Linked DNA regions of Nothobranchius furzeri. The protein of the gene in region 6 interacts with the protein of the main gene of each other region in a pairwise test. Links are inferred from orthologs where the notes say so. Each region holds a gene or a part of one and is shown on either strand. Other genes may lie near its edges. The genes, in order: kifc3, rnf41, stx11a, rint1, trim54, airim and tfip11.

What was found.
Region 1: the proteins of airim (region 6) and kifc3 interact in binary tests that used the Homo sapiens proteins (3 or more experiments, as listed by UniProt). The two-hybrid records come from large-scale screens. The link is inferred for Nothobranchius furzeri from reciprocal best matches to the Homo sapiens genes AIRIM and KIFC3.
Region 2: the proteins of airim (region 6) and rnf41 interact in binary tests that used the Homo sapiens proteins (3 or more experiments, as listed by UniProt). The two-hybrid records come from large-scale screens. The link is inferred for Nothobranchius furzeri from reciprocal best matches to the Homo sapiens genes AIRIM and RNF41.
Region 3: the proteins of airim (region 6) and stx11a interact in binary tests that used the Homo sapiens proteins (3 or more experiments, as listed by UniProt). The two-hybrid records come from large-scale screens. The link is inferred for Nothobranchius furzeri from reciprocal best matches to the Homo sapiens genes AIRIM and STX11.
Region 4: the proteins of airim (region 6) and rint1 interact in binary tests that used the Homo sapiens proteins (3 or more experiments, as listed by UniProt). The two-hybrid records come from large-scale screens. The link is inferred for Nothobranchius furzeri from reciprocal best matches to the Homo sapiens genes AIRIM and RINT1.
Region 5: the proteins of airim (region 6) and trim54 interact in binary tests that used the Homo sapiens proteins (3 or more experiments, as listed by UniProt). The two-hybrid records come from large-scale screens. The link is inferred for Nothobranchius furzeri from reciprocal best matches to the Homo sapiens genes AIRIM and TRIM54.
Region 7: the proteins of airim (region 6) and tfip11 interact in binary tests that used the Homo sapiens proteins (3 or more experiments, as listed by UniProt). The two-hybrid records come from large-scale screens. The link is inferred for Nothobranchius furzeri from reciprocal best matches to the Homo sapiens genes AIRIM and TFIP11.

Annotation. Positions count from the first base shown.
Region 1 is NC_091749.1:65,919,630-65,923,639, reverse strand, and holds the start of kifc3 (kinesin-like protein KIFC3), read right to left. Parts: upstream 2,801-4,010; 5' UTR 2,666-2,800; coding exon 2,474-2,665; intron 1-2,473. UniProt on the Homo sapiens protein: Minus-end microtubule-dependent motor protein. Involved in apically targeted transport. Required for zonula adherens maintenance.
Region 2 is NC_091755.1:37,149,527-37,153,789, forward strand, and holds the start of rnf41 (E3 ubiquitin-protein ligase NRDP1), read right to left. Parts: upstream 2,801-4,263; 5' UTR 2,676-2,800; intron 1,957-2,675; 5' UTR 1,861-1,956; intron 1-1,860. Other genes in the region: uncharacterized protein, read left to right, coding at 3,694-4,263. UniProt on the Homo sapiens protein: Acts as E3 ubiquitin-protein ligase and regulates the degradation of target proteins. Polyubiquitinates MYD88. Negatively regulates MYD88-dependent production of pro-inflammatory cytokines.
Region 3 is NC_091758.1:20,330,308-20,334,336, forward strand, and holds stx11a (syntaxin-11a), read left to right. Parts: upstream 1-1,229; 5' UTR 1,230-1,364; intron 1,365-2,482; 5' UTR 2,483-2,487; coding exon 2,488-3,357; 3' UTR 3,358-3,734; downstream 3,735-4,029. UniProt on the Homo sapiens protein: SNARE that acts to regulate protein transport between late endosomes and the trans-Golgi network.
Region 4 is NC_091741.1:64,278,013-64,282,124, reverse strand, and holds the start of rint1 (RAD50-interacting protein 1), read left to right. Parts: upstream 1-1,312; 5' UTR 1,313-1,347; coding exon 1,348-1,557; intron 1,558-2,033; coding exon 2,034-2,159; intron 2,160-2,364; coding exon 2,365-2,480; intron 2,481-2,593; coding exon 2,594-2,767; intron 2,768-2,860; coding exon 2,861-2,998; intron 2,999-4,112. UniProt on the Homo sapiens protein: Involved in regulation of membrane traffic between the Golgi and the endoplasmic reticulum (ER); the function is proposed to depend on its association in the NRZ complex which is believed to play a role in SNARE assembly at the ER.
Region 5 is NC_091742.1:14,248,886-14,253,087, forward strand, and holds the start of trim54 (tripartite motif-containing protein 54), read left to right. Parts: upstream 1-1,402; 5' UTR 1,403-2,291; coding exon 2,292-2,609; intron 2,610-4,135; coding exon 4,136-4,202. UniProt on the Homo sapiens protein: May bind and stabilize microtubules during myotubes formation.
Region 6 is NC_091759.1:26,720,645-26,723,801, forward strand, and holds airim (AFG2-interacting ribosome maturation factor), read left to right. Parts: upstream 1-1,310; 5' UTR 1,311-1,419; coding exon 1,420-1,676; intron 1,677-1,980; coding exon 1,981-2,154; intron 2,155-2,224; coding exon 2,225-2,343; intron 2,344-2,427; coding exon 2,428-2,468; 3' UTR 2,469-2,657; downstream 2,658-3,157. Other genes in the region: cdca8 (borealin), read right to left, coding at 1-17; cldn35 (claudin-4), read right to left, coding at 2,868-3,157. UniProt on the Homo sapiens protein: Part of the 55LCC heterohexameric ATPase complex which is chromatin-associated and promotes replisome proteostasis to maintain replication fork progression and genome stability.
Region 7 is NC_091757.1:45,000,280-45,004,345, reverse strand, and holds the start of tfip11 (tuftelin-interacting protein 11), read left to right. Parts: upstream 1-1,266; 5' UTR 1,267-1,376; exon of another isoform or gene 1,377-1,394; intron 1,395-1,814; 5' UTR 1,815-1,816; coding exon 1,817-2,022; intron 2,023-2,111; coding exon 2,112-2,277; intron 2,278-2,367; coding exon 2,368-2,524; intron 2,525-2,632; coding exon 2,633-2,760; intron 2,761-2,876; coding exon 2,877-3,038; intron 3,039-3,197; coding exon 3,198-3,389; intron 3,390-3,528; coding exon 3,529-3,708; intron 3,709-3,818; coding exon 3,819-3,953; intron 3,954-4,039; coding exon 4,040-4,066. Other genes in the region: srrd (SRR1-like protein), read right to left, coding at 60-158, 246-427, 494-534, 765-976. UniProt on the Homo sapiens protein: Involved in pre-mRNA splicing, specifically in spliceosome disassembly during late-stage splicing events. Intron turnover seems to proceed through reactions in two lariat-intron associated complexes termed Intron Large (IL) and Intron Small (IS).

The DNA.
Region 1 (4,010 bases), on a different chromosome or scaffold from region 6:
TTCTGCCCACTGATCCACAACGTCCTGAGTCAACACATTCTCACACCCAAGGCGTCAAAATATGACGCGTGTGATCAGGCCTCAATATATGACGATTCGGGATGCCCTAGCGCGTCAGGAGACGATGATCAGGGACACGCTAGGACACGTGGCTCTGCTGGCGTCACTGTTTGACGCGGGCGGTCATACGGACATTATTCAACTATTTAACCTTCCCCTCACCCCAATCCTAACCCTAACCTTAAGGTCCATAAACTGTGACCTTAAGGTTAGGATTGGGGTGAGGGGAAGGTTAAGTAGTTCACAAGTAGTTCTAATGTCCGTCTCAGCACCAGCGTTGGATACCGAGCTCTGGGACGCTGCGTCAGCAGTTTCTCCCTGATCGTCGTCTCCTGACGCGCTGGGGCGTCCTGAATCGTCATATATTGAGGCTTGGTCACACGCGTCATATTTTGACACCTTGGATGTGAGAATGTGTTGCCTGAGTAGAGGTCAGCAGCACACCGTCCCCACTATAGATATTGTTGGTAGCGCACTGCTTCTCCCCCCAAGGCGCCGGATGGTGGACCACAATCTCATCGAAGCCGTATGGAAGTCTTGCTCCATGATCTCACCAAACTCCTCCCATGTCTGGGTTTTTGCCTTGGCGACCACCCGAGCTGCGTTCCGCTTGGACTGCCGGTACCCGTCAGCTGCCTCTGGAGTCCCACAGGCCAAAAAGACCTGATAGGACTCTTTCTTCAGCTTGACATCATCCCTAACCGCCAGTGTCCACCAGCGGATTCGGGGGTTTCCACCACGACAGGCACCGACGATCCTGCGACCACAGCTCTGGTCGGCCGCCTCAACAATGGAGGTATGGAACAGAGTCCATTCAGACTCAATGTCCCCCGCCTCCCCCGGAACATTTTGGAAGTTCTGTCGGAGGTGGGAATTGAAGCTCCTTCTGACAGGAGACTCTGCCAGACGTTCCCAGCAAACCCTCGTGATGCGTTTGGACCTGCCTGCTCTGACCGGCATCCTCCCCCACCAACTGAGCCAACTCACTACCAGGTAGTGGTCAGTTGACAGCTCCACCCCTCTCTTCACCCGAGTGTCCAAGACATGCGGCCGCAGGTCAGATGAAACAACAACAAAGTCGATCATCGAGCTGCGGCCTAAGGTATCCTGTTGCCAAGAGCACATATGGACACCTTTATGTCTGAACATGGTGTTCATTATGGACAATCCATGACTGGCACAGAAGTCCAATAACAAAACACCACTCAAATTCAGATCGGGGGGCCGTTCCTCCCAACCACACCTCTTCAGGTCTCACTGTCGTTGCCCACATGAGCGTTTAAGTCCCCCAGCAAAACGAGGGCGTCACCGGAGCGAGCGCTTTCCAGCACCCCCTCCAAGGTCTCCAAAAAGGGTGGGTAGTCTGAACTGTAGATTGGTTCATAAGCACAGACCACAGTCAGAACCCGTCCCCCCACACGTAGGCGGAGGGAGGCTATCCTCTCATTCACAGGGGTAAACCTCAATGTACAGGCACCAAGATGGGGGGGCAACTAGTATGCCCACCCCTGCTCTGCGCCTCTCAGTGGGAGCAACTCCAGTGTGGTAGAAAGTCCAACCCCTCTCAAGGAAAATGGTTCCAGAGCCAGAGCCATGCGCTGAGGTGAGTCCGACTATATCTAGTTGGAACCTCTCAACCTCACACACCAACTCAGGCTCCTTCCCCACCAAAGAGCTTCTGTAGCCGAGGATCAGACCGACAAGGTCCCCGCCCTCGACTACCACCCGTCACACACTGCACCCGACCCCTTTGGCCCATATCTATTAAACCTAAAATGTTTTTTGAACCAGGCTGTAAACATGTTTATTTCTGCTGTGAAATTAGCATTTTTTACATGGGAGTCAACGGGAACTTGCTCTGCTCTGGTGCCAGCCCCTAGCAGATGAGGGTGGAACTGCAATTTTTGCCACTCCTTGTTGGCTTCAAAAAATTCAGACTAAAATGGCCCTTCGTGCAGAACCCAGCACAGAACCAGCTGCCTAGATCACTTGTTCTGGAAACCAGAAAAAATAAAATTAAAACAGCTAAAAATATACTCACACATGCGCAAACTTGCTCAACAAAAAGACAAGGCTACGCAGACCGATTAGGCATGATTGATGCAGCTCTTGAATTTGGACACTTATGGTGAAGTGTCCGGCCAAAGGACACAACTACGATCGAAACGCAGTTGGGGTTTGAACCGGCTACAGGGCGAACTCCTAACCCTTGAGCCACCGTCACTAAGTGGAGAACTCAGCTGTGAACTGGGACCAGCTCACTTCAAACTGGCCAGACTGAGAAGTAAGGCTGCACAAGGGTTCATGGAAGTTCTGAGGACAAAGACCATTTTCTGTCTAACACCCCCTTTTCTATCCTGATTTGCAGAAATGTTTAAAATCTCAGAATATTTCCAGACCTTGACCTCCTCACCTCAACTGGCCTCCTGCTGGATGAGGAGACACATCGTACACGGACCCCCTTCCTCTTCCTCACAGCCTTCACGCCACTTTGTCCTGGTCCATTAGCATCACCTCCATGCTCTGAGCTACCTTTGAGTTGGTTGTTGCTCCTCCTGAGGAGGCTGTAGAGTGTGAGCAAAACCAGCATGGAGAGGACCAACATGTTCCTGTCCCACAGGTGAGCTCAGCCTGGGACAGGATCCAGGTGAGTGAGGCACACAGGTGTCCCGTAATCCTGTCGCTTTCTCATTTATTCCTCAGCTGTCTCACCTCTGTCCTGGTCCCGTCCCTACCCTGCCAACGCTGTACTTCCACAGAACTGATAAGAACACATGAACCTTGTCCTCCTCTCTGTTATTGTTGTCTAATCCACAGGTAATCCTCCATTAAAACTTTAATTCTTTATTTTTACCTCAAGCTCGGAATGACTGTTGCCTGTGATGATGTCAGGAGAGGTGCATTCAGGCTTCAAGTCCTTCGAGTCATTTTGAATTTGGCTTCAACAGTTTCCCCCACTGTTGTTTAACAAGGCGGACAAAAGCCTAAATATTTTACACGTATACTTGATTTACCATAACTCTGCAAAGGTTTCAGCCATCAGAAAAATTCAAGCGTTCTTTTTAAAAGAGAAGTCGCACTTTTAAGTACACATTACAATAAAATGCATTACGCTGTTGCAGGAAGCCGGCTAATCAGAATGTCTCACATGCACAAGAGGGTAAGTGAGGGGCAGAAAATGAGCGAAACACACCCACAGCTAGGGCTGGGCAATAAATTGAAAATGTATCATCATCGAAATTTCTGACTCTTATCGAGATCATTGTCCCCATGTCAATAAATCTGATAATAAAAAAATGAAAAGATGTGTGCAGGTTGGCAACATTCATGTCCACCTCGAGTCTCGTAAAAATGTGACTCAACGTAATACATGTGACAGCCCCATCTAGTGGACAACTTTTGTTTCTACACATACCTGTAGTTAACGTCCATTTATCGCCATTATGGTGAACTCCTCAATATATCGTGATATTGATTTTAGGCCGTATCGCCCAGCCCTACCCACAGCTATAAATATCATTGGCCAAATTGCACCCTTAAAAAATAAATAAAATTGTTTTCATTCCCTAATGCGCTGCTTTGTCAGCTCAAGTGTCTGACTGCTGCAACCAAGTGGGTCTCTATTGCCTCCATTACTGGGTCTCACATGGCGTAGCGTCCACGTCACCAAATGCATTACTCTGTTGACTCGGCGTCAAAATCCCCAAACTCTGTTCCATCTACGGTTGTTGTAATCACTCTAGTCATGACAAGCACAAATGTTTTTTTTCGTGTCCCAAAAGTAGTGAGCCACAAAAAACCCAATTTAAAAAATCTTACTGAAAGAGGACGACAGAAGTGGACCTCCGGCTAAAGCCTGATTCATGCTTCTCCGTCAGCTCCAAAAGGGAGAGACACGCACGCACGGGCGGAGATGTTTTGCCCTCATACTTCTCCGTCTCCTGGGGAGT
Region 2 (4,263 bases), on a different chromosome or scaffold from region 6:
CGTATTGTAATGGATGACCCAGATGCCTTTCAGAAAGCAGAAATGGAGATACTTGGCAATGCTTGTACTGCAACCTGATGAGCAAATGTTTCTATTATCACTCTAGCCATTTTTACAAAACAATGCCATTAATTTGCCGCAATGCCGTGGCAGCATCAGGGAGCCTTAGGTTGTTCATAAGTGGTCAGACTGTGGCGGTAATGTGGTGCAATCGTGTCCTTTTTATAAGATTAAGGCGGTGTGTATTGTAAAAGGGCTTCTGAGATGCTGAATTATTTAATCTCACCCCCCCCCCCCAAACCGAAAGTATTTTACACAGATTTCAACACAAGAAGGTGACATGTTTCATCATGTTGTTTATTATGAAGAGGAAGAAAATATCATTTCGATAGCGCTTCTCAAGATAAAAATCACGAGGCGCTTCACAAAAACAAAAAATGAAAAAATATAAAAAAGAATTTAGAAAATGGTTAAAAATATATTTTAAATGAGCAAAAAAAATGGGCAATTGTAATTAAAAAATGTTAAGAAAGAGAGAGAGTGAACAGGAAAGAGGGAAATCAGTGGATCCTGAGGAAGGTGGAATAGGTGGGGAGAGCAGAACAAAAAGAGAGAGGTGAAGAAGGTCATACAAAAGCCAGCTTGAACAGGTGAGTCTTCAGCTGCTTTTTAAAGGAGACCACTGAGTCCACTGATCTCAGGCTCAGGGGGAGAGAGTTCCAGAGTCTGGGGGCCACAGCAGCAAATGATCTGTCACCTTTGGTCTTTAGTCTGGTGCTGCACAACCAGTAGGCTTTGATCACCGGACCTCAGGGACCTGCTGGGGGTGTAGGGACTAAGAAGATCACCAATGTAAGATGGTGCTTGTCCATGTAAGGCCCTATAGACCAGAACCAGGATCTTGAAATGAACCCTGAAGTTGACTGGCAGCCAGTGAAGCTGGAGGAGAAGCGGAGTGATGTGGGTGTGTTTGGAGGACTTGGTCAGAAGCCGAGCACAGGCATTCCGAACCACCTGTAGACGGTTCAGGGAGGTTCTGCTCAGACACGTGAAAAGAGAGTTACAGTAGTCTAAGCATGAGGAGATGAAGGAGTGGAGAACTGTCTCAAGTTCAGAGCGGGACAGAATGGGACTCAGCTTAGCAACGTTCCTGAGATGGAAGAAGGAAGAGCAAACAAGAGAAATGACATGAGAATCCAGGGTGAGAGCTGGGTCAAAGGTCACGCCAAGATTCCTGACAGAAGGTTTGGTGTGGGAAGCAAGCTGACCAAGAGAGTCTCTGACTTTGGGAACCAGCTTGTCTGGGGCACAGATGAGGATCTCAGTCTTATCTTCATTCAGCTGAAGAAAGCTCCCAGCCATCCAGGTTTTGATAGAGTCTAAGCAGGTGTGTAACAGCTGCAGCTTAGACATCTCATGGGGCTTAAAGGAGATGTACAGTTGGATGTCATCTGCATAAAGATGGTAGGATATTCCTTTGAAGGAGCTCAGGATGTGCTGAAGAGGAAGCAGATAGAGGAGGAAGAGCAGAGAACCTTGTGGGACACCATGGGTAAGGGTGGTGGTGAAGGACCTAAACTTGGAGACGGCCATAGAAAAGGAGTGCTCAGAAAGATAATGTAATATAGTACAGTAACTAATTCTTTAGCTCACTGTTTGTATATATGTGTGTGTGGTTGTTTTTTTACATTTACATTTATACACTTGCTACGCTACTAAATACCAGTACTGTGAAACAAACCTGGCTAAAACTAAGATGAGAAGGGTTTTTTACACTATCTATGAATAATTACTATCAAAAAATGATTGACATTTTGTCAAAATAATAATTTACAGTTCTGGTTAGAACATCTTGTTTACCTCAAACACAAACTGCCTCAAATATTTCCATTCAGCTCCTCGATTCCTCACATCTGGCAGAAATGCTCTGCCTGCCTAAAAAGACACAGACCCTGCCTGAATAAAAAGGAAAAAATTATTGCATTTAAAAAAAAACTTTTAGTCTGATGATTGTAAACCACATATGCAAGAACATTAAATCCCATATCACGTATACACAATGTACTCAAATGAGTTTAACTAGCTGAAATCTGAGATTAAGTACTTTCTAAAAAAATTTACCATACCGACAGTTTTTTTGGAGGATAAAGAATTTGAACTTTAAATTGAGCGTAGCCATTTTCATACATATTCACATCCTCAGGCTGACTTTTCAACGTGATTTTACAATAAACATATTTATCTACTGTCCTGGTTAACAAATGAATGATTCCAAAAAATGAAAAGAAACAGCTTTGAGATCAACATGTTTCCATCATATTTCAGAGCAAGGAGCACAAAACTTAGCTGAGCATCGAGGTTTCTCAATGTTATCTTCACGCATATAATAACACTTTAAACTAAATCGTAAAAACTTGATTTTTAATAACGTAAACATGCGTCAAAGAGAAAAATATCTTAATGGTTTACAAAGTACAGCAGCACAGTTTGACTGTCACGATTTCTGAATATGTAACGTTAGCTAGCCCAGCTAGCGGCTACGCTGTCGTTGGTTTCCTTTGGACATTAGCTATAAGCTAACCAGACTGACCTCCGTTAGAGACAACTTCACACACCAATAGCTGTTTACAGTCAGCTGCACTGCTCAAGATATAACAGCTGACTGATATACTTACTCAGACATTGAGTAAAATAGATCCTTTTCACAATTCAGGCTGTTTTCAGACGTCGTACCAACACTAGCCCCTTGCTAATCACGTCTTGGTGCTACGTCATACAAGTCTACGTCTCAATCGACACGAGGGGAAACGTCATCACGCAAAACTGCAGAAATCCCAAAAGTGAATTTTATAATGAAAAATGTCTCTCTTACCGAAACAATGTTAATCACTAACACTGTCGAAAATGTCCTTATCCGGTTAAAACTTTCATAACGGACTGCTGTTTCTTTGTACATTCTTTTTTTAATTGTCTGTTTGTTAATCAGTTTTGGGTAAATAATTGTATAAACATTAATCCGGACTTCAAGTTATAATGGAGAAATGTGTTATTTGGGTTCCTCAGAAATGACATTGAGATTAAAAAAACACATTAATATTATAATAATGTAAGCTAAATGCCATGTTGAAAAGTTTGTTTGTTTTCAAGAGCTCAGACAATACATTTCCTCCATTATGATTTCATCCAATAAAAAAGCCTCAAATGGATCAATTTTGTGAAATAATTGTTAAGCATCAGTCTAATGTGCTCTGTTATGCTCTGTTATGTTATGCATCTGTGTAAATTTGTAAATAAGAATGTGTGTGTGTGTATATACATGTATGCTTTTATACTGAAAAGTACCTGTAGAGGAAGTTAAACTTTGACCTCGTAAATTGACCAATAAAAGGGAGCATTGGTGTTTTAGTGGCCGCAATCAGTGTGTGCTACCACCAGTGAAGGCCCGTGAAACAGACGCTCTGTTTATGGATTTATTTCCTCCTTTTTTTAATCCTGGAGATTCATTTTGGAGTCTTGGACCAACCGCTGGGTAAACGAAACTCTGCTAACAGGTTATGGGCCCAGCACGCTTCCGCTGCGCACCAAGCTAATCAGGACAGCTGGGAAAGCATCCTGCTAGCGTGTGAGGAGCACAGAACCGACCAACAGCAAGTCCGGTGAGTCGAGTGAGAGCTACGACGTGTGTCGGACACTATGAGTCGGAAGACAGTGGAAGCCAGTACCCGCTGGTCAAGACTGGTATTTGACGGAGACGAGGATAAATATGAACTGTGGGAAACAAAGTTTCTCGGACACCTCCGGCTACAAGGTTTGAAAGACATTATATTAAAACCGAAAGACGATGACGATGATGAGGAATATGATTCAAAGAACGCAGAGGCATATGCCGAACTTATACAATTCCTGGATGATAAGAGCCTTTCACTGGTGATGAGAGACGCAGCTGACGACGGGCGGAAAGCTCTAATTATCTTGAGAGAACACTATGCCGGGAAGGGAAAACCCCGCATAATAAGCTTATATACAGAACTGACTGCATTACAGCAGAAGAGCGGCGAGAGTGTAACGGATTATGTTTTGAGAGCCGAGGCCGCCATTACAGCGCTGAGAACCGCAGGTGAAACTTTGAGCGATGGACTGCTAATAGCAATGGTTTTAAAAGGTCTACCTGACTCATTTACGCCTTTTAGAATCCATGTGACACAAAGTGATGATGACATGACTTTTTCAGAATTTAAAAGTAAACTGAGAAGTTATGAAGAA
Region 3 (4,029 bases), on a different chromosome or scaffold from region 6:
AGTATACAAACAAATTGCATACAAAATTGAACAAAGAAGATGAAACATATGCCAGGGGGTGCACTACAGAAATGTTACACACATCCAAATAAATTACAGGTGGTGCAAATAGTTATAGTTTTTAAAGCTTTTTTGTTTAGTGATCCACTAATCAATTTTATGCAAGATAGAGTGTCACTATAATAGTGCTTGAAATTAGGTTTTTGGTTACTATACTTGCATTTGTGGAGATAGAATTTAGCTAGATTAACAAATTTATAACAAAGTATACATCTTCCTTTCTCTGCTTGCGAAAAAAATACAGCATTTTCCCATTTTAAAACGAAGTCCTTGCAGAGCTGTCCGATAATAAATCTGCTAAAGTCTTTCCAAAACGTTGTAGCATGTGAACAGATCCAGAAGAGGTGGGATTTGTTGTTTTATTTGGTTGTGGAGAGTAAAGATTTTCTGTCCTCTGCTGGAAACAAGTGGGTACTGCAGCGTTCAATACAGCGTTTAGTCCAATTTACAGGAAAGCCAGAGCGTCTTCACTTATATAAACTACTAAAACGCAATAAATCAATTTTAGTTATCTGTGTTCAACTCGATTAAATCAAGGAGCTGCAGCAGGAGCTAAAAGCAGCTAGCCACAGCACAGCAAATAGAGCAGATCTACCGCCCTCTGGCGGCCACAGGGCGAAACTACACGGCAGAAGGGTTTGTTTTTTGGCAATGTAAAACAGTTACGAAATTTTACCAAACTAATCAAACATGTCAGATATAAAAATATTGGTTATGAGTTCAACAGAACAATAAGCACCCAATTGCATCTAATAAACACTCAAACATTGATACATAGATTTTTTAAGGTCCTTTTTTTGTTTCAAACAGGAAAAGCATTACGTCTTTGGATTTCACAATGAATGTATGAAATACTCAAATAAATAAAATAAAAACAAATACTAATAAAAAACGCATGCTAAAAAGCTACTGAAAATCTGAGTAAATCACAACAGCTGATTTAATTTGATGAATTTGTTTATTCAGAAAAATGATATATGCAATCAATTATAATTACGTAACGTCATTTTAACATTTCTAAATCACCCTTATTCACAATACATTTTAAGTAAAAGCTTTGAGTTCAGGAAGAACTTCCATTCGGACCCCTTTGATGGAAGTTCTTCCTGAACTCAAAGCAGGGTTTGATCTTCCGCGTAGTTGGTCTCGCGGCGTCAGGAGGCTGGTGACACTCACACCTCTTTACTCAGACTGTGGTTGATGTTGGTGAAATGTCTAAATGTAACCGAGACACAAAGAGGAAACGGGTCTTTCTTTTCTTCTGTTTCTAAGGAGAGTTCTCTTTAGGAGGGCACCGCCATAAGGTACGTTTACTTCTCTGGTTTTATCGCCTCAAGTAACCTGGCGTAGTTTACAAGACTCCTCTTAGTTTCTTCGTTTACCTCCTCCCATCAGATCACTAGATGCTTATTCGTTTCTGTTTTGTTCATAAATACTTGAAATAGTTTGAAGTAGCTACACAATGTGAGTAGCATGTGGAGGACAGATGAGACTAACTAGCAGCTGAAAGCGTCACAATCTGAGGAAGTAACAGAGCAGTTTCCTTTTGTAGACATTACCGCCTGAAATTATTTCTAAACCATCAGTTTATTTATTTATTTAATTATTCATTCATAACCAGAGAAGCGTCCACACCTATTTTATCTTATCGCAACTCAATCAAAACTAATTAAAGTGAGAGCAGTAGCAGCTTTATGACGAGATAAGTATAATAAGAGTTGAATGGTTTTTAATTAGGTGTGTTTATATGGTTGATCATCATTTCTGTAACCAGGAAGAATTTGGTCGAGTCCAAAATGCATAAAGATAAAAATGAGACATTTTTGAATGATTGCCCCACTTTTATTGTTTCCAAAAATAAAATGGTCCATATTACGTCACAGCCAGTGAGTAACAGCAGCAAAAAGCTGATTCTAAATGTGTCATAGCAGCTTATAAGAGTTTAATTAGGATCTGTGTTTTCTAGGAGGGCTCTGGTCCAGCTTGTTGTCCGAAGGCCACCTCTGGTTTAATGCACCAAATAAGACTAAATGTTACCACATTTCTCGGATCACTTTGAAGATCTTACATAATTTCGAGGAAGCTTAAAAGCCCGTCTCGTGTTGATAATCATGGCCACATGATGATCAGCACTGTTCCTCTTTTCTGCAGCGTTATTATTTCCTGACAACCTGAGGAACCTCCTAAGATGCTGCTTAAAAGAGTGTTGTGTCAGATATCTGGAGTCAGTCTGAAAGCAGATCTTGTTTTTATTGTACTCTATTACTCTCCTCGTCTCTTAAGTTACTCAGAAGACAAAACTGCAAACTGGGCCTCAAAGATCTTTGTCTTTTGGAGATATGTCCAGCTTCCGCTCATCTCAGAGCGACGGAACATTTCATATATTTTAGAAAATAACAGATCGAACTGACTCTTGCTGCAGGTGAAATGAAGGACCGACTATCTGAGCTGAAAACCGTCACCCCGGAGCCTGCTGAGGAGGAGCTTAACACAGTCTTTGAGGATGAGGAGGTCGCAGAGTCACTGGCCATCGTGTTTCAAGGTGAAGATGTGATGGACGGCATCTACAAAGATGCCCAGATGATGAGGAAGGAGCTGCAGCTGCTGAAAATTGACGTGAAGCGTCTGGCGAAGCAGAACACGCGGTTCCTCACGTCCGTCAGGAGGTTTAGCAGCATCAAGCGGGACTCTAACGCGCTCGGCCGGGACATCAAAGCCAGGGGGGAGGCCATCTACGCCCAGCTGGAGAAGCTTGGAAAGCTGAGCAAAAAGCTTGGAGAGGAACACGGCTTCACGTCGGCTCTGTCTCGTATGGTGCGCTCACAGTACACTTCTCTGACTCGGGCCTTCCACGAGGCCATGTCTGAGTACAACGAGGCCGAAATGATCCAGAGGGAAAACTGTAAGACCCGCATTCAGAGGCAGGCGGAGATCATGGGCAAGGAGGTGACCAGGGAGCAGCTGGACGAGATGATCGAGAGCGGGAAGTGGAACGTCTTCTCGGATAATCTCCTTTTGGAGGGGAGGACTACCAGATCTGCTCTGAGCGAGATAGAGAGCAGACACAAGGAGCTGCTGGAGCTGGAGGGTCGCATCAGAGACATCCACGAGCTCTTCTCCCAGATGGCTCAGCTGGTGGAGGAGCAGGGCTGCATGCTGGACAACATAGAAGCAAACGTCTGCTCTACTCAGGACTACGTTGCCAAGGCAACGGTTCAAATCACACAGGCTAAAGAATACAGTGAAAACAACCCATGCAAGAAACTCTTCTGCTGCTGCTTCCCGTGCTGTAAATGATTCTTGGTCAGATTTAAACTGGAACTCTTTATAATTTTCCTTTTACGGGGTCAGCGTCAGACATCTCACTTCATTTTCACGTACTGTGCTGGTCTGAGAAGGAGGAAGAGTCATTTCAAACCGCGCTGTTCACATACAAATGCATTCAGTTGTAATCGAGTTGTTGCATTTCCTGATCGTAACTGATTATTACTTTCTGCAGCACCCACATGACTCCACGTCTCATCAAAGATATGTCATTGCAGCTTTTTATGTCGGGTAATGCATGTTTCATTCAGTAAAACTTGATTTATTTCTAAATTACTGCTTTGGAATGAAACGGCGACCATTAAAATGGGAGAAAAAAAAACAAAAGCTGGAGCTGACGTTGCTGCAGCTGTTGGCCAACAAGTGTGTAGAAACACAAATATTAGTGGTTAGCTGGGAGATAAGCTGCGTTCGTGTTGAACAACAAGCCTCGTTTTGCTCCAGCTTTATGCCGGAGCTTTTGTTGCTTCATATGAGATTAGCTCCAGCGTCTGGAGTCTGATTGGTGTCATGTTACATCCACACAAGCTTTTCTCTCAGGCGTGTACCTGAATCAGTGTCAGTACAAACACTCAGAGCCAGAGCAGGGGACTTCCTGTTGGTACCAGAGTTCTTTGGTAATCTGGATTTTTTCTCAGATTAGGG
Region 4 (4,112 bases), on a different chromosome or scaffold from region 6:
ACATTCGACTGCAAACTACTCCAGCAAAAGCTCAAGATCACGACCCGATGAAGCCAACAGGACTACATCGTGCAAAAATCAGTGACCCTGATCCTTGGGCCACCAAAATGGATTCCCTCAACATCTTGGCTGTGTCTAGAAATCCTGTCCACAAAAGTTATGAACAGAATTGGTGACAAAGGGCAGCCTTGGTGGAGTCCAACTATCACCCAGAACGCTGTTACTGCCAGCAATGCAGACCAAGCTCTGGCACCGGTCATACAGGGACCGTACGGCCCGTATCAAGGGGGCTGGTACCTCATATTCTCATGGTAACCCCCACGGGACTCCCTGGAGGACACGGTTGAACACCTTCTCCAAGTCTACAAAACATATTGGGCTGGTCCAGTGTTCAACAGCCAGGACCAAAACCATATTGTTCCTTCTGAAACCAAAGTTCAACTATCTGACGGACCCTCCTCTCCAGAACCCCTGAATAGACTTTACCAGGGAGGCCCAGTAGTGTGATCCCCCTTTAGTTGGAACACACCCTGTGCTCCCTCTTTTTAAATAGAAAGAACCACCGACCTGGTCTGCCAATCCACGAGACTGCCCCCGATGTCCATGCTGCATGGTGGCACAGTTGTTAGCACTGTTGCCTCGCAGCATGAAGGTTGCAGGTTCGAAACTCAGCTGTGGCCTTTCTGCGTGGAGTTGCGTCTTCTCCCCATGCATGCGTGGGTTTCCTCCAGGTACTCCGGTTTCCTCAACAGATCCCAACATGCCCTATAGGTTATAAATTGTAAGTCGCTTTGGATAAAAGCGTCTCTTAAATGAATAAACATAAACATGTAATATCAAAGTCCCATTAGTTGTCACACTGGTGTGTGAAATTTGTTCTCTGCATTTGACACCCATCCCTGGGGGAGTGGTGAGCTGCAGACAAAGCTGTGCTCGGGAATCGTTTGGTGGTTTATCGCAGAGCCACTTCAACGCAACCCTATATCCAGGAACTCTGGGTGAATCTCATTCTTATCCATCGTGAGACATTGCCATTGAGCAGCTTTTGAATCGCCTTGGTGACCTCAGCGTCATTAATTTGAATTTTTATTATTTATGTACCTTTTCATTGTTGGTATTACTGTTTATGTTGTGTTGTCTGTTGTTTACTGCATTATAAGCAAATACTTTAATTCTGTAATGTTTTCACTGTAAATAAAGTTTGGTTAAAGAACCCGAAACATCTAGTGTTTTTAGACAAGAGGATAGGGGTCTGGTGTTGTTTTGGTACCTTCCCTTTCCCGACAGCAGGGGGCAGTGGTGAGTTGTTCCTCACTGTGCAGCGTGGCGGTGTTGTCAAAAATAAAGATGGCGACGGTACCAGCTGTAGAGTCTTTTCGGCATTCTGTCCGTGACATGGATCAGGATCCGGACTGTTTCGGTGATGGTTCTGGGACCCAGCTGGACTACGGACTGGGTTTTTTGGAGCAAGAGTTTGGCAGCGAACTGATGTCTTTAGAAGCCGTTAGTGAGCTGCTGGAGAAAATGAAAACAGAGACGGCGTTGGTGGAGGAGCAGGTACCGAACCTGAACTTTATTTACTACACGGTGTTTTTAAAGTTAACGAATTAGTGTGTAACAGCGAGCTGTTGTGGTTAAAGTCAGCTGTTTGGTGGCATTCTGGTGGATTAGGTGTGAACCTAAAGCACATTAAATAAGATTTAAACAAATGTTTTCACAATGAAGGAGATGAACTAAATAAAAACTGCTTCAGTGGATAAGACCTCACAGTTCATCATCTATATTTCACTTGATAGAGTTTTAAACATTAAAAGAACTGGAACTCTTGTGCATACATATACAATTTTAATCAAAGACCACTGTGCTGACAGGTCAGGGTTCATAGCCACTAACTCACGGGTTATTAATTTATTCTGCAACCTGAACTCAACCACATTAAATAAAAATGTGTTTTTTTGCAATCTGAAAGATTAGAACAATGTTTTGTCCTTTAGGTTCTGGCTGAATGGGATTGCATTGTTTTTGCTTTCCAGGTTCTGAGTGTGTGCAGTTCTGTTCCTCCCAAAATCTCAGCATCCCTGTCAGCTGCAGAGGAGGTCCGGTGTTCCTTGGAGGACGTGCTGCAGAGAGAACAATCTGTCTCCAGTCAGCTGCAGCAGGTAGAAACTGCAGAAGCTCAACAAAAGAGCAGATTTCAATCTGAAGTAGCAGAACGAACATCAGAGTTGTATTTGATCTATCCCATACAAGATCTGAAACACGATCTGAGCTGAATCATCTATGCTTGTTTAAGGTGTTCTGTGACAATCCCCACTGTAATCCAGGGATGTTTTACTGATGCTGTTAAATATTCTGATCTTCCAGCACCTGCAGGGCACCCGGCAGTTGATGGATGACCTAGGGCAGACATTTAACCATGTAGACTCTATGGAGAAAAGCATGAAGTATCTAAAGTGCCTTCACTACATAGGAGAGCTCAGGTAGGGTGATTAGAGGCTTGGAGACATGTTGGTTGAGGTTACAGTGATGCATCACTGAGGTTTAAAACTGCTCCTCATTTCTGCTGCATAATGTTAATATTATGTGTCTACAGTGCTTCAGTCCAGCAGTTTCTGATGACCAACGGTGTCTGGGAAGCTATAAAAGCTGTAGAGAGCATGGCGGCTCTGGACTCTGGCCTCAACCAGTCAGGATGTTCCCACCTTGTGGAGTTTCTCAGGAAAACGCTTTGTTTCTGGCACAATATCATCAAAGAACAGCTGTCCAGGTATGGCTCCATCAAATCCCAACCAAGACTGGGATGTTTTTGTCTTCTTTCATCTACTGTAAAAGCTGATTCTTTCTTTTTAAACCTCTTTAGTGATTTTGAAAACGCATTGACTCAACTACACTGGCCAATTGTCTCAACAACATCTCAGTCTGCGACACCTCCTGCAGGTCAGGAGGTCAGCAGCCATGTGGAGGAGCTGGTGACTCAGCTGCTGGCCCTGCAGACCTCGTATCCTTCTGGACACAGATCCAATAGGATCTTGGGGACTGTCTCCACACATTCATGTGCTCAGTTTTTTTAACCATGTAAATGTGTTTAGTTTCATCAGGTGAGATGTTTAGCATTATGTCAGGACACCATAATGATCTGACATTTGTCTTTGGTGGTGAGAGAGCAAGGCTTCTAACTCTACACAACCTTTAATCTGTAGTTTTGCATTTGCTCATGAGTTTTTATTTAGTTAGTATCTCACTGGGCTCTGTTAGCGAGACACTGGCATCACCATTCAGAGTGAGTTTTCAGAAGGTTATCCAAACATTCAAGTGTTCTTGGTTCCTTCTTGTGATTCTCAGGGCCTGACTCTGTGCCTAGAAATTTTTAAATGTTCAAAGAATTCTCAAGACAAATTCAGCCAACACAGCCGTTGTAATTAAGTACATAGCACTCATCTCAGACAGAAAATCACAACGTGCTTCACATGGATCAAAACAAATCATAAAGTCATAAAATCATAATGATCTTAAAACAGAAATGGATTAAAATCTGAAAAATAAAGTCTAAAATAATAAAACACCATAAAACAAATGAAAAATTATTACAAATTTGAGTTAAAAATAAGAAAATAAAAGATTTAGGTAAAAGCAGCTTTAAATAAAAGGGTCTTCAGCTGATTTTTAAAAGTGTCCAGACTGTCAATGCTGTGTAAGGATAAAGGAAGATCATTCCAGAGTCGGGGTGCAACAGTCTGGAACTTCTAGAAGGTTCTGGTGTGTGGACCTGAGGGCTCGGGTTTGAGCATAAGGCTTTAACAGTTCAGTAATATAGGGAGGAGCTTGACCATGTAGAGCATTGAAAGTTATAGTCAGTATACTAAAATGAACTCTAAAGTTAACGGGTAACCAGTGGAGAGACATTAGGGTTGTGAGCTCTTGTGTTTGCTCCAGTTAGAAGCCTCACTGCAGAGTTCTGGCCCAACTGAAGGCGGTCAAGGTTTTTCTTGTTAAAACATGTGAAAAGTGTGTTAAAGTAATCTAGTCGGGAGGAGATAAAGGCATGGATGACCATTACAAGTTCATGTTTTGACACCAACCTTCGCAGTTTGGAGATATTTCTTAAATGATAA
Region 5 (4,202 bases), on a different chromosome or scaffold from region 6:
GTTCAATTCAATTCAAGTTTATTTAGCGCCAAATCACGACAAGAGTCGTCTCAAGGCACTTCACACAGTAAACATTCCAAAACTACAGCAATCCTCATACTAAGCAAGCATTTAGTGACAGTGGAGAGGAAAACTCCCTTTTAACAGGAAGAAACCTCCAGAGGATCCTGGGTCAGTATAAGCAGCCATCCACCATGACTCACTGGGGATGGAGAAGACAGAGCACACACACACACACACACACACACACACACACACACACACACACACACACACACACACACACACACACACACACACACACACACACACACACACAGAGCAGTGTGCTAGCCGATGGCCTCCTCCATGAAATTATTATATAAAATGGTTTGTCAGTGAAGATTGTTATTTAACTTATATTTTTTCTGCCTTCTGTTCTGTATTTGAAGCCATACTATGTAACTTTTTCATATTTTTAAATAATTTTCTTGAGTCAGTATGTGCTAAAATGATCCATTACAGGGTTAATGAAATGCCGCTCAGACCTTCAACTTCGGACTGCTGGGCACCTGTTGGACTTGGGGGGAAAAATTGCTGACATACCTGGTGCTTCAGTCTGCTTCCAGCACATTTCCTGCATGTTTTAGATTATGAACACACCTGATTTGTTGATGTAGTGATGACTCACAACCATGGACATAATTTTCACTTTAGAAGTGGGGGGACACGGGGGGGGGGGGTCTTCACAGTATGTTCTAATGGGAAACAGGCTTCAACACAATGGTTGTTTTCTGCTTGGTCCTAGAGCTCAACCAGTGTCAACTTAATATAGCGTAATATTGTCTTTGGATGGTAAAAAGTGCAGGGGTCAAAACTTGACTTTGGAAAAAGTTGGGGGGGGGGGGGGGGGGGGCATGCGTTAAAGAAATAATAGGCTTGCTTTTCAGCACCCCCTATAGTCTGAAGCGAAACCAATCTCGCTGTGCATTCTTCTTTTTAACACTTTAATCTAACAGCCAAAATGTCTCCCAGAGTTCCTAAGTGTCTAGAGGAGTGAGTCATCACTAAACGAAACAAATCAGCTGTGTTCATGATCGAAAACATGCTGGAACCAGACAGCAGCGCCCGGTAGGTCAGCTCAATTTTTTCTAAGTCCCAACAGACCGGAACACGATGGTCTGACCACAGGGGGTGATGGGGGCATTAACCCTGTAAAGGGTTATTTTAGCATTGGCTCAAGAAAATAATTTAAAAGTATGAAAAAGTTTTAAAGTGTCCATTTAAAAAGAGGAATGCACAGCAAGAAGATAGGTTTGATTATTGATTTGACCAAAGATAATTAATACGTACACTAGGGGGTGCTAAAGGTAAGCAAAACTGCCAAGTGTGCCTTTGTGTGCAGTACTGGAGCTCCACAGGGTACGGCGCTCTCACCCTTTCTGTTCACCTTTTACACCTCAGATTTCACCTACAACACCAGCAGCTGTCTGAGTTTGGGATAGATCCAGACTCTCCATCTCCTCTGATCATTTCTTTGTTTCTCTCAGAGAAACAAACTAATTTCTCCTCCTGATGACATCAAATTAAATAAAAACAAACTTTAAATTGATCCTGTCAGCTGTTTCAGTCGAGGGAAGCGTCTCGTGTTTCTGTTTCAGCATCTCGTCCTGCTTTATTTTCATCCTCCTGAGTGACGCCATCAAACATTCTAGAGCTAATTTTAGCGTCTCCTAAGAGGAAAACAAAAGATAAAAATGAATTTACTGAGTCAGAGTTGTTTTAGGATGTCTGTGGCTCTGATCAGCTGGACGTTCTCAGAACAAAGATGATTAGATATGATGCCGTGTAGCATTACATCTCATAGATAATCTTGTTAATCACTGCAGGAATCTAAATGAACTCTTCGTGTTGTCATGACAACCATTCACAGAGAACTCAAGATTTTCTTTGAAACATAAAAAAATAAAATTATGAACAAAATAAAACTTCTGAGTCAGTTCAGGAGAAGAACTCAGGATTTAAACAAAAAAAACAACAAGATTTTACTATTTTCTCCCAAATCTGAGCAAACAGGAAGTGAGTTGTGGGCTGGTTTAACTGGGACCAGTCAGGAATCAGCTGTGGGGTTTAAGGAATCATCTGAAGTGTTAACAACCAGGAACGTCTGTCATCGTGTCTCCAGGATCTTCTCTGAGGTGTCGGACTTCATGGAAACATCAACAGAGAGTTCTGATAGTGGTGACCCTCCTGCCACACCCGGAGCTCCCAGAAACCCGATCCAGAACAAACACTAGAGCTAAAAATATCTGATGGGAGGGTCCGTAAATCCGAGCCAGACGGGCTTTCAGAGGGGGAAGAATAGAGTCACATCTACAATAAAAACCAAACATCTCACAAACGCCAGCAGAATCTTTACCTGTTCGCCATCTGAGGCAATGAGCTTTGCTTCTGGGTTCAAACCTCCAACACCTGGAAGTTCTGAGCCCGGTACCCGTAGCAAAACCACGATGGAGAACCTGGAGAAACAGCTGATCTGCCCCGTGTGCTTGGAGATGTTCTCTAAACCTGTGGTGATCCTGCCCTGCCAGCATAACCTGTGTCGTGGGTGTGCCAACGACGTCCTGCAGGTGAGCATGAAGATCAACAGGTAGACTCATCAGAACCCCTGATCCAGTTCTGGTGATCCTGTGGGACTTACCCTCAGTTTCATGTTCTTAGCTGACACCTGGTGTGGTCGTCTGCTGCTGGAGTCCACCTGGAGCAGCTGGTGTGGTCCTAAAGGAACCACTGCTGTCTTTCAATCATCAAGAACCAGTCTGACCAGCCTCTGTAGACCCTAGATGGTTGTGGGTTCAAATCCTGGTAGATCAGACCATCATGCCTGGTACTAACAACATTCCACCGTAAATCTCTATTCTGATGCTCAGTTTGAACTTCAGCAGCAAACACCTTCTCTGATAGATGATTGATTTAAAGGAGACAAATTATGCAAAACTCACCTTCTGCATTTGTTTTGCGCCGTCGTGAGTCTACGGACTCCATAAACAGTCCAGGCAGGAAGACCCCATCCATCCATGTTCTGTCCGTCGTTGGTTTCAGGAATTACGTGCCTAAAATCAAGAAGTCCCAGATTGTGATTTCAAAAATGGGCAAATAAGCATAGAAATACCTTCACATGTCGACTCTGGAGGAGCGGCAGCTCTACTCTGAGCCCCTGTTGGATATTTGAGCTCCTCACCTCATAGGGACCAATCAGGAAATTGGTGGGTGTGGCCAGCAATGTTTTCTCAAAGTGACAGAGCCCTGAAATGGCTCATTTTGGAAAGTACTGAAAATGATAAAACTGCTGAAATTGCTTTATGTGAGAGAGATTTAGTGCAAAGAACTTCATAAACATCTTCGGTATTGACATAGAGCAACTACATTTAGCTAGAGTTGCTTTGTAATGTATATTTTGGCAATACTGTTGCCATGGTAACTCAAATTGTCATTAAAAGTGATTTACCACTTCTTCCAACCGAGCCAGTCAGTGTGATGCACAGTGTGTGCAGGTGCATGCTTGTATTTGAGCTCCGTCAAGTTCGAGGTGCTTTTTATTGTGGCTGTTTGTTAAAAGCGTTGCCATGGTAACACTAATTCCAAGCTACAGGCCCTAAAAAGGCTCATTTTAGCAGATTCAGACAAAAGGGTGCCTTTCTGCATATTAACACATCATTGTAGCTTTGTTGTTTTATTTATCACCATAAACAGCCATAAAATCATAAACATAAAAAAATAACTCTTATTTGTTGTGGTGAAAAAGTCAGATCACTATTTGAAAAACACTTTTTTTTAAATCACCTTGAAAGCGTTTGAATTAGTCCTCCAATGCTGATATGAGTGAAGGTTCCTTTAATTGTTTTCATTTTATGATTTAAAGATAAATTATTTGTTATAATAAACATATATACATATATATATTTATTATTACATCGACATATGTCGATGTAATAAACTTAGAAAGCGTATAAGATGTTCCTGAGAATCATCGTTTTAAAAATGACTCCAGCTGACTAACCTCAACCCATTAAACAGCCTCCTGTTTATCATTAAGATAAATGATAAAATGTCTTTTAACAAAAATCCAAGAAAACCAGTTTTTGTCTTCAACCAGGCCACCAACCCTCTGTGGCAGCCTCGAGGCTCCTCCAGCAGCGGACGCTTCCGCTGTCCATCATGCC
Region 6 (3,157 bases):
CTCTTCCGTGGAGCCATGTCAGCGCGGAGTGGAAGGATTTAGTCCAGAGAGTCTGAAACCGTTTCACAGAAGATAAGCTTTAGCTAAAAGAGCAGGCACGAGGACGTTATCCGCTGACTGCGCTAGCTAGTTATTTAGCATCAGGGCTTCGCGCGGATTTTTCTACCGACCATTTATTCACACATCTTATAAAATTGATAAAACATCACTTTAATCCGATTTATCAGCCTTAAATTAGAGAAAAGTCACCTGCGTTTCTTTTGCCGCTTACTTCTTCCTACTAGACGTTTTAAAATTCTGCGCTGGGACACGTCAGCCAATGAGGACGTACGTTTTTACTGCGTCACAACACTGAGGCGTTTACCAGCGCTTGGCAAACGTGCATTACTGCCATCACGTGGCTTGGGGTGTAGTAACAGTCACGTTATTAGGGTACTCGGTGACAACAGCCATATGTACATAAATGTTTATGTGTTGTATTTATGTTTATTATATAAACATAAATGTTTATATATACATATCTATGGCAACAGCTGTCTCTGTGGCTCGCGCTGCACGCAGAGCTCTGACGGAAACTTTGTTTCACCAACAAACGTTCCGTTCTTCCTCGTTGTGAGTTTCTATTGGATCAATATCTTTATGAATTGGTCCTTGATCGGGACTTAAAGAACAGCTAAATATGAATAGGTGTGTGTAGGTTTTGACTTACGTGTTATAAACAGGAAGATTGTTACTGAATGATTAATGTGTTCATTCTATCATTTTCTTTTACAAGAACAAAGTTTACTGAAGCTCATTCTTTCATTTCAGTAGTTTTATTCCGTTTGTAAAACTGAACATTGTTAAATGTAAAGGGTGGAAAATAAACGCTGTGGTCTTTAACGTGTTTAAGCGCCATTAAAACTGTGTTTATTATTTATTAACAGGGTGTACGTTATGTTCCGACACGCACTGCTGTCTTCATGGATAAATAAAAACATTCCTAACTACTGGATCTTTTCCATGCTACGTTCACTGACAACGTATAAAGTAGGAATTTCCTACACTTGTTACATAAAACATACTTTTGAACTGTAGCCGTAACTTTGCTGAATTCCGTGTTTGTCAAATGACGTAATCCTGTCTTTAGACTATATAAAACATTAAAATTGCATCATTTAGAATTACTGCCGACTACAAATGAATCACAGGACTAGAGTTTAGATCACCCTAACGACTGCACCCCCCACACGTGTTGTTTATATGGTCAACGGTGATGGAGTTGAAATGGAGCTCGAGTGAGAGCTCGGACTTCTGAGGTGCCCTGAACGCATCATAAGTCATTGTTTACATCCGGAGACCGGAAGCGGGCTCTAGACGTGAGCTGCCGCGTGGAGACGTGCGTGAAGTAGGAACGGGTTCGAGCAGGAGAACCGGAGCATGTCCGAGCCGCTGCAGGAGGCGCTGAGGAGGAGCTTCGTGAGTCTGGAGAAGCAGCGGGAGGTCTGGAGGAGCGTGTTGGAGGAGTGCAGCCCGCTCATGGAGGCTCTGGGGAACCTGGCGGAGCAGATGAGCGCGCTGACCCGCGTCCAGCTGCTCGACACGCCGCTCCGAGTCTTCCCGCAGCTGGAGGAGCTGCTGCGGGTCAAGCTGCTGCAGGCTGCGGACACGGTGCTCCAGAGGCTCGGTGAGAACATGTGAGTCAGAGCCCTCAGAACCACGCTGGCGGGAAATAAACGTACGTCAGCGTTAGTTATTGTCATCAATAATCGGAGCTTCGGGGTGATACTGACATCTAGTGGTCAGAAGTAGAACAACACCCGTTCCAGGGTTATGATGGAGCGCATGCGCGTTGGCTATCCATCTTAGCTGGACGTTATAACTATGATCCACTTACTTTTTAATTGTTTCTCCCATTTTATTCTCATCTTTTTAGTTATTTATTGTGAAGCAGCTCGTGACCCATCTTCTGACGGTCCATGTGTTGTGTTCCTCCTCCAGGTGCCGTCTGCAGTCCATCAGAGATTCCATCAGTAGCCAGGCCTCTGCTCTCCTGCAGCAGTACCAGCAGAGTTCTGTGGACCTGACGATGCTGACGGAGCGCTCGGCCACCGTCCCGTCTCTGGCCGACATGCTGCAGTGGATCCAGGACGCTGAGCGCTTCTACAGGCAGCAGTATCCTTCCTGTGGGCCTCCTGGCATTCCCGTTATCCTGCTGTTGTCGTTTCCCTGAACTCATCTTCAGATTCCTACAGAGGAAAGCTCTGCTGCAGACGCTGAGGCCGGACCAACTCCTTCTGCTGGAATCTGCTCCCAAAAGGTGGAAATCTCTGGAGTCTCCGAGTGCCGATCAACAGATCACAGGTGAGTCGTGACACGTGGACCAGAGCCCACCCCCATGTTCAGGTCTCCCAACGGTCCGATTTGCTGGATTTTGTCTCTTTTCAGATTCACTCTGCAGACTCTCTCTCTTCATCCAGCCTCAGTGAGCTAGCGAGGGTTCGCTGACCCGACCCGACCCGACCCGAGGACACAAGACGCTTCCAGCTCTTAATGTCAAACGCTTTTATTTGAAAACCAGAAGTTTGTGTGAAGATCTGGAGAGATTACAGCCTGCACCGCACACGCTAACAAGCTAGCACGCCAAATAGTTCAGTCTCTGTCACACACACACACACTCACACACACACACACACACACTCACACACACACACACACACACACACACACACACTCTCACACACACTCTCACACACACTCTCACACACACACACACACACACACACTCTCACACACACACACACACACACTCACACACTCACACACACAGTCCTGTGTGTAAATAAATAAATAAATAAAGGGTCACTCTGTTAGTGGTACCCCCCCCCCTAGACGTACTCCTTCAGAGGGACGTTGTTGGAGATGATGGGTTTCGGTGGTTCCGGTGCGGGCGAGTTGGCGAAACTCCGGCCGACGTAGCCGCGACGGTACCGGCCGCCCCGCTCCATCAGCGGACAGGTGCTGCTCAGCACGGCGCCGCTGATCATCAGGATGACGGCGGCGGCCCAGCCCAGGTAGATGGCCTGACCCAGCTCCCGCTTGTGCATGACGGGAACGTTGGGGTTGTAGAAGTCCTGGACCACCGTGTTGGCGGTCCAGGAGACCGGGATCAGAACAC
Region 7 (4,066 bases), on a different chromosome or scaffold from region 6:
CTGAAAACAGTGTTTTACTGTTATTTATTTCAAAAATACTCAAGCTCTTGTCAACTGACCTCATTTTCTGTGAGTACAGTCAAACCCAGCTCTCTTAAGACATTCTTTTCAGCAAAGGAGAAGGCAGGATCATAAACATAGCAGTCCCGCAGTAAAATCTACATGGACAGGGGCAATAAAGCACATATTTTGCATCAGAGTTTCACAAGTATCATTTATAACACAGATGGAGTCGATCTTCTCACCTGTCTCGCATCCAGAAGAAGCAGCAACATGGCAAGTTGGTAGCGAGCGGCTACACATGAAGAAAAAGACCCAAGACCATAACAAACACACATCAGTGTTTCTTCTGGGGCTTTTTCCAGCTGATTTTCAGTGTCACTGTCCCCTGGAGGTTTTAGGGATGCTGCTGCTGCCTGGAAATTCTCTGAAGAGAAGATGATCCACTAAATAACTAAGCTTAACTCAACCTACATATCTACAACAAACTCACCATTCCAGTCTTTCCAAAAATCTTCGTACTTTAGTTCAAACCTAAGAAGGAAAGATATAAGCAAACCAATAACTTATGGGAAGATGTATGATTTCACCTATTATGCAAGATAAATATTGTTACTCATATATATATATATATATATATATATATATATATATATATATATATATATATGTATATATATATATATATATATATATATATATATATATATATATATATACATACATACATACATACATACATGTGTGTGTGCGTAACTTCTTACATGTTGTCTCTGATTCTTCTGATGAGTTTTCCAACATCCAGTTGCTCCTGATGGCATGATGGTGAGTTTAGAGGAACTTGATGAGATTTAAATTGCCTACATACACCTTTTCGACGCCGAGCTACCTGCCATTCATCGGATATGTACGACATTTGTGTGAATTGCCAGATGTAATTTACATAAGTACATACATTTCCAAACGTAAGTATCATAAAAACATGGAACTCAAAACCAAATTTAGCATTTTGAGAGCTGAAAGCTAAAAATGGAAACGCAGATGACCTATTCAAGTGCAACACATTGTTCTGTTTCCGGTGTGATTTCCGTCTAGTTAAAAGTCACGTAAATTCAACAGATTTGCTGTTGTTCGATTGTTTTTATTTTTAAAAAAAATATTGACCGCTTTATAAAAATGTATGTGTTGAATGGTTGGTTTTAATTAAGCTGCTTTTAAAATATTAATGAAATTATTTGTAGTGTACATTAATTGAAGTGACACGGCTAAACCGGAAGAACTTGCTTTTGACAAAAATATATCATTCGTCAACAGTTCGTGTCTCTGCAGTTCGTCTTATTACCACATAAGATATGTGTTTTTGATCTCAGACCAAGGTTGTAATTAATATTTTAGTAAGTTAACTTAAACGAAATCGTCGTTTTTTATCACTACTAACATGTTGTGTGTATTTACATTAATGCTACAGAACGTGCGTTATTGCTAGTAATTAGCCTTCGCTCCGTTTTCTTCTAAGCAGATTTGTATAGTTTTATAATCGATGTTTCACGTTTAGTCTTATTTGTGTATTCATCGTTATTGATTGTAAACCTTTTTGTCATTATTAATTTATCGTTAGTTAAACCACAAACGTTGACTTCATACCTGACTTAGTTATCGCATTTTATTTCCCTCTTCTTTGCCTTTAATAAACTAGATATGCATCTTTTTCCTGATTTTGAAGTCACAATGTTTCTTTCCTGGAAAATAAATGCACGTGTAATTTTAGGATTCGGTCACATTTCATTAAGATCTATATTGTTTATAACTTGCAGAGATGTCAATGTCCCACCTTTACGGGCGGAGGGAGGAGGAAGAGGAAGGTGTGGAGGTGGAGAGTTTTGAGATTACTGACTGGGATTTAGCCAATGAGTTCAACCCAGACCGTCGCAAATTCAGGCAGAGCAAGGAGCAGGCCACATATGGCATCTGGGCCGAGAAGGATTCTGATGAAGATGAAAGGCCCAGCTTTGGTGGCAAGAAGTATAAATGGCTTGCTTTTGACACAAATTCCAATTCTGAAACAATTTCTAACCAAATGTTCTAATAAAATATTTATGATTTCTTTTTAGATCCAAAGACTACACTGTACCTGTGAGCTTTGTGAGTGGTGGTTTGCGTAAGAGTGCTGCTGAAGAGAAAGAGCGGGAAAAAGAAGGCAGCTCTGACGACTCTGATGATGATACTTCTGCAAAACTCCCCCCTTCACGCGTGACTGCACCCAAAAAACTCCAGATGGTAATTTTTAAATGTGCGCACATTGTGATGTCCATTGTTTGTAGAAGAAAATAGTGAAAATAATGATGTTGGGAAAAAATGTTTTTCTAGGGTAATTTCTGTGGAAATCAGTCTAAGAGGTTTGCAGGTGGAATACAGTCTGGACAAGGAATTGGTAACTGGGAGAAACACACCAAAGGAATTGGACAGAAACTTCTGCAGAAGATGGGTTACCAGCCAGGGAAAGGCTTGGGGAAGAATGCTCAAGGTGTGTTTAGTTGACTTAGATTGTTCTTTTAAAAATGTTGTAAAATGTTTTGTTTTTTACATGGATGTGGTGGAATTGAAACACTTGTAATGTACTTTCTCTCTGTAGGTATCATAAACCCCATTGAGGCAAAGATCCGTAAGGGAAAAGGAGCGGTTGGTGCTTATGGCAATGAAAGAACCCAGCAGAGTCTTCAGGACTTTCCTGTAGTTGACTCAGAGGAAGAAGAGGAGAAGGTAAAGTACTGAGAAAAAAAATTGTCTTTACAATGTTGTTTTTATTTTTGTGTTTGATTTTATTGATCAAATGAGTCTATAGAGTCATTGTGGTAATTTTCTATATCTTTATATAGGAATTTCAGAAGGAACTTGGCCAGTGGCGTAAGGATCCAGCTGGGCCTGCAGGAAAAAAGAAGCCCAAGTACTCTTACAGAACAGCAGATGAGTTGAAGGCTAAAGGTAAAATAGTGAGTCGGAGCACATCTGCAACTGCAGGAGAGCTGGCACAGGTCAAGGTATGTTTATGTTTCACTTGTGTGCTGTTTGTTTTTTATGTTGGCATGGCTGCATAGGTGCAAAATTGAGGATTCAGTGTTTTATTAAGCATCAGTAATTTAAGTACATTTTGGCTACATTCATAGTACTTATTTATCCTGACATTTCCCTTGGTCTAGGTAATAGATATGACTGGAAGAGAGCAGAAGGTATACTACAGTTATAGTCAGATGTCTCACAAACACAGTGTTCCCGATGAAGCTCCACCAAGCTTGGCTTCACAGGATCAAAAGGTATCTGGCTTTGCTCTCCCCGAACTTGAGCATAATCTGCAGCTTCTGATAGACCTGACAGAACAAAACATATTACAGGTAAGAGGAAACCAAGAATTATTTACAACATATTTAGCTACAAGAATAGGATATTAATAAGTCAGCAACCTGAGAAAAATGTGAAGAACTTGTAATCTCTACTAAAGCGTTCTTTCTTTTTTTTGTGCATCTTTTGTAGTCTGCCAGACGTTTGCAGCATGAAAAAGACGTGGTTGTTTCTCTGAGCCATGAGTCAAAAGCTTTGCAGAGCAGACTGGAGTCAGAGCAAGAATCCATCCGAAGAATGGAAGCTGTCTTAGCATTAGTGGAGCGTTTTCCTTCTGAAGAGACGGCACCGGGAGAGGGCCCGACCCTACAGGTTTGTGTTACAAACACTGACTGGAGCCGGTCTGCAAGCTGTTCAAATTAAGGAGTTCCAGCTTTATATTTCATAATTGTGAAGCTGATTTGTAGTGCTTGTCTCTTCAGGAGTGTGCCCAGATCTTTGAGACATTACAAACCGATTATTATGAGGAATACAAGATGATGGGATTGGCAGATTTGGCTGTGGCTGTCATTCATCCATTGCTTAAAGAGAAACTCTCCTCCTGGGACCCTGTGAAGGTAGTCTTTTACAGTTAGAGGAAACCACATTTTTAGTAAATGATTAATATCCAAGCTAATTCTTGAACGCTTTCTGATCTTTTCAGGACAGTTCTTATTGTCTGGAGGATATC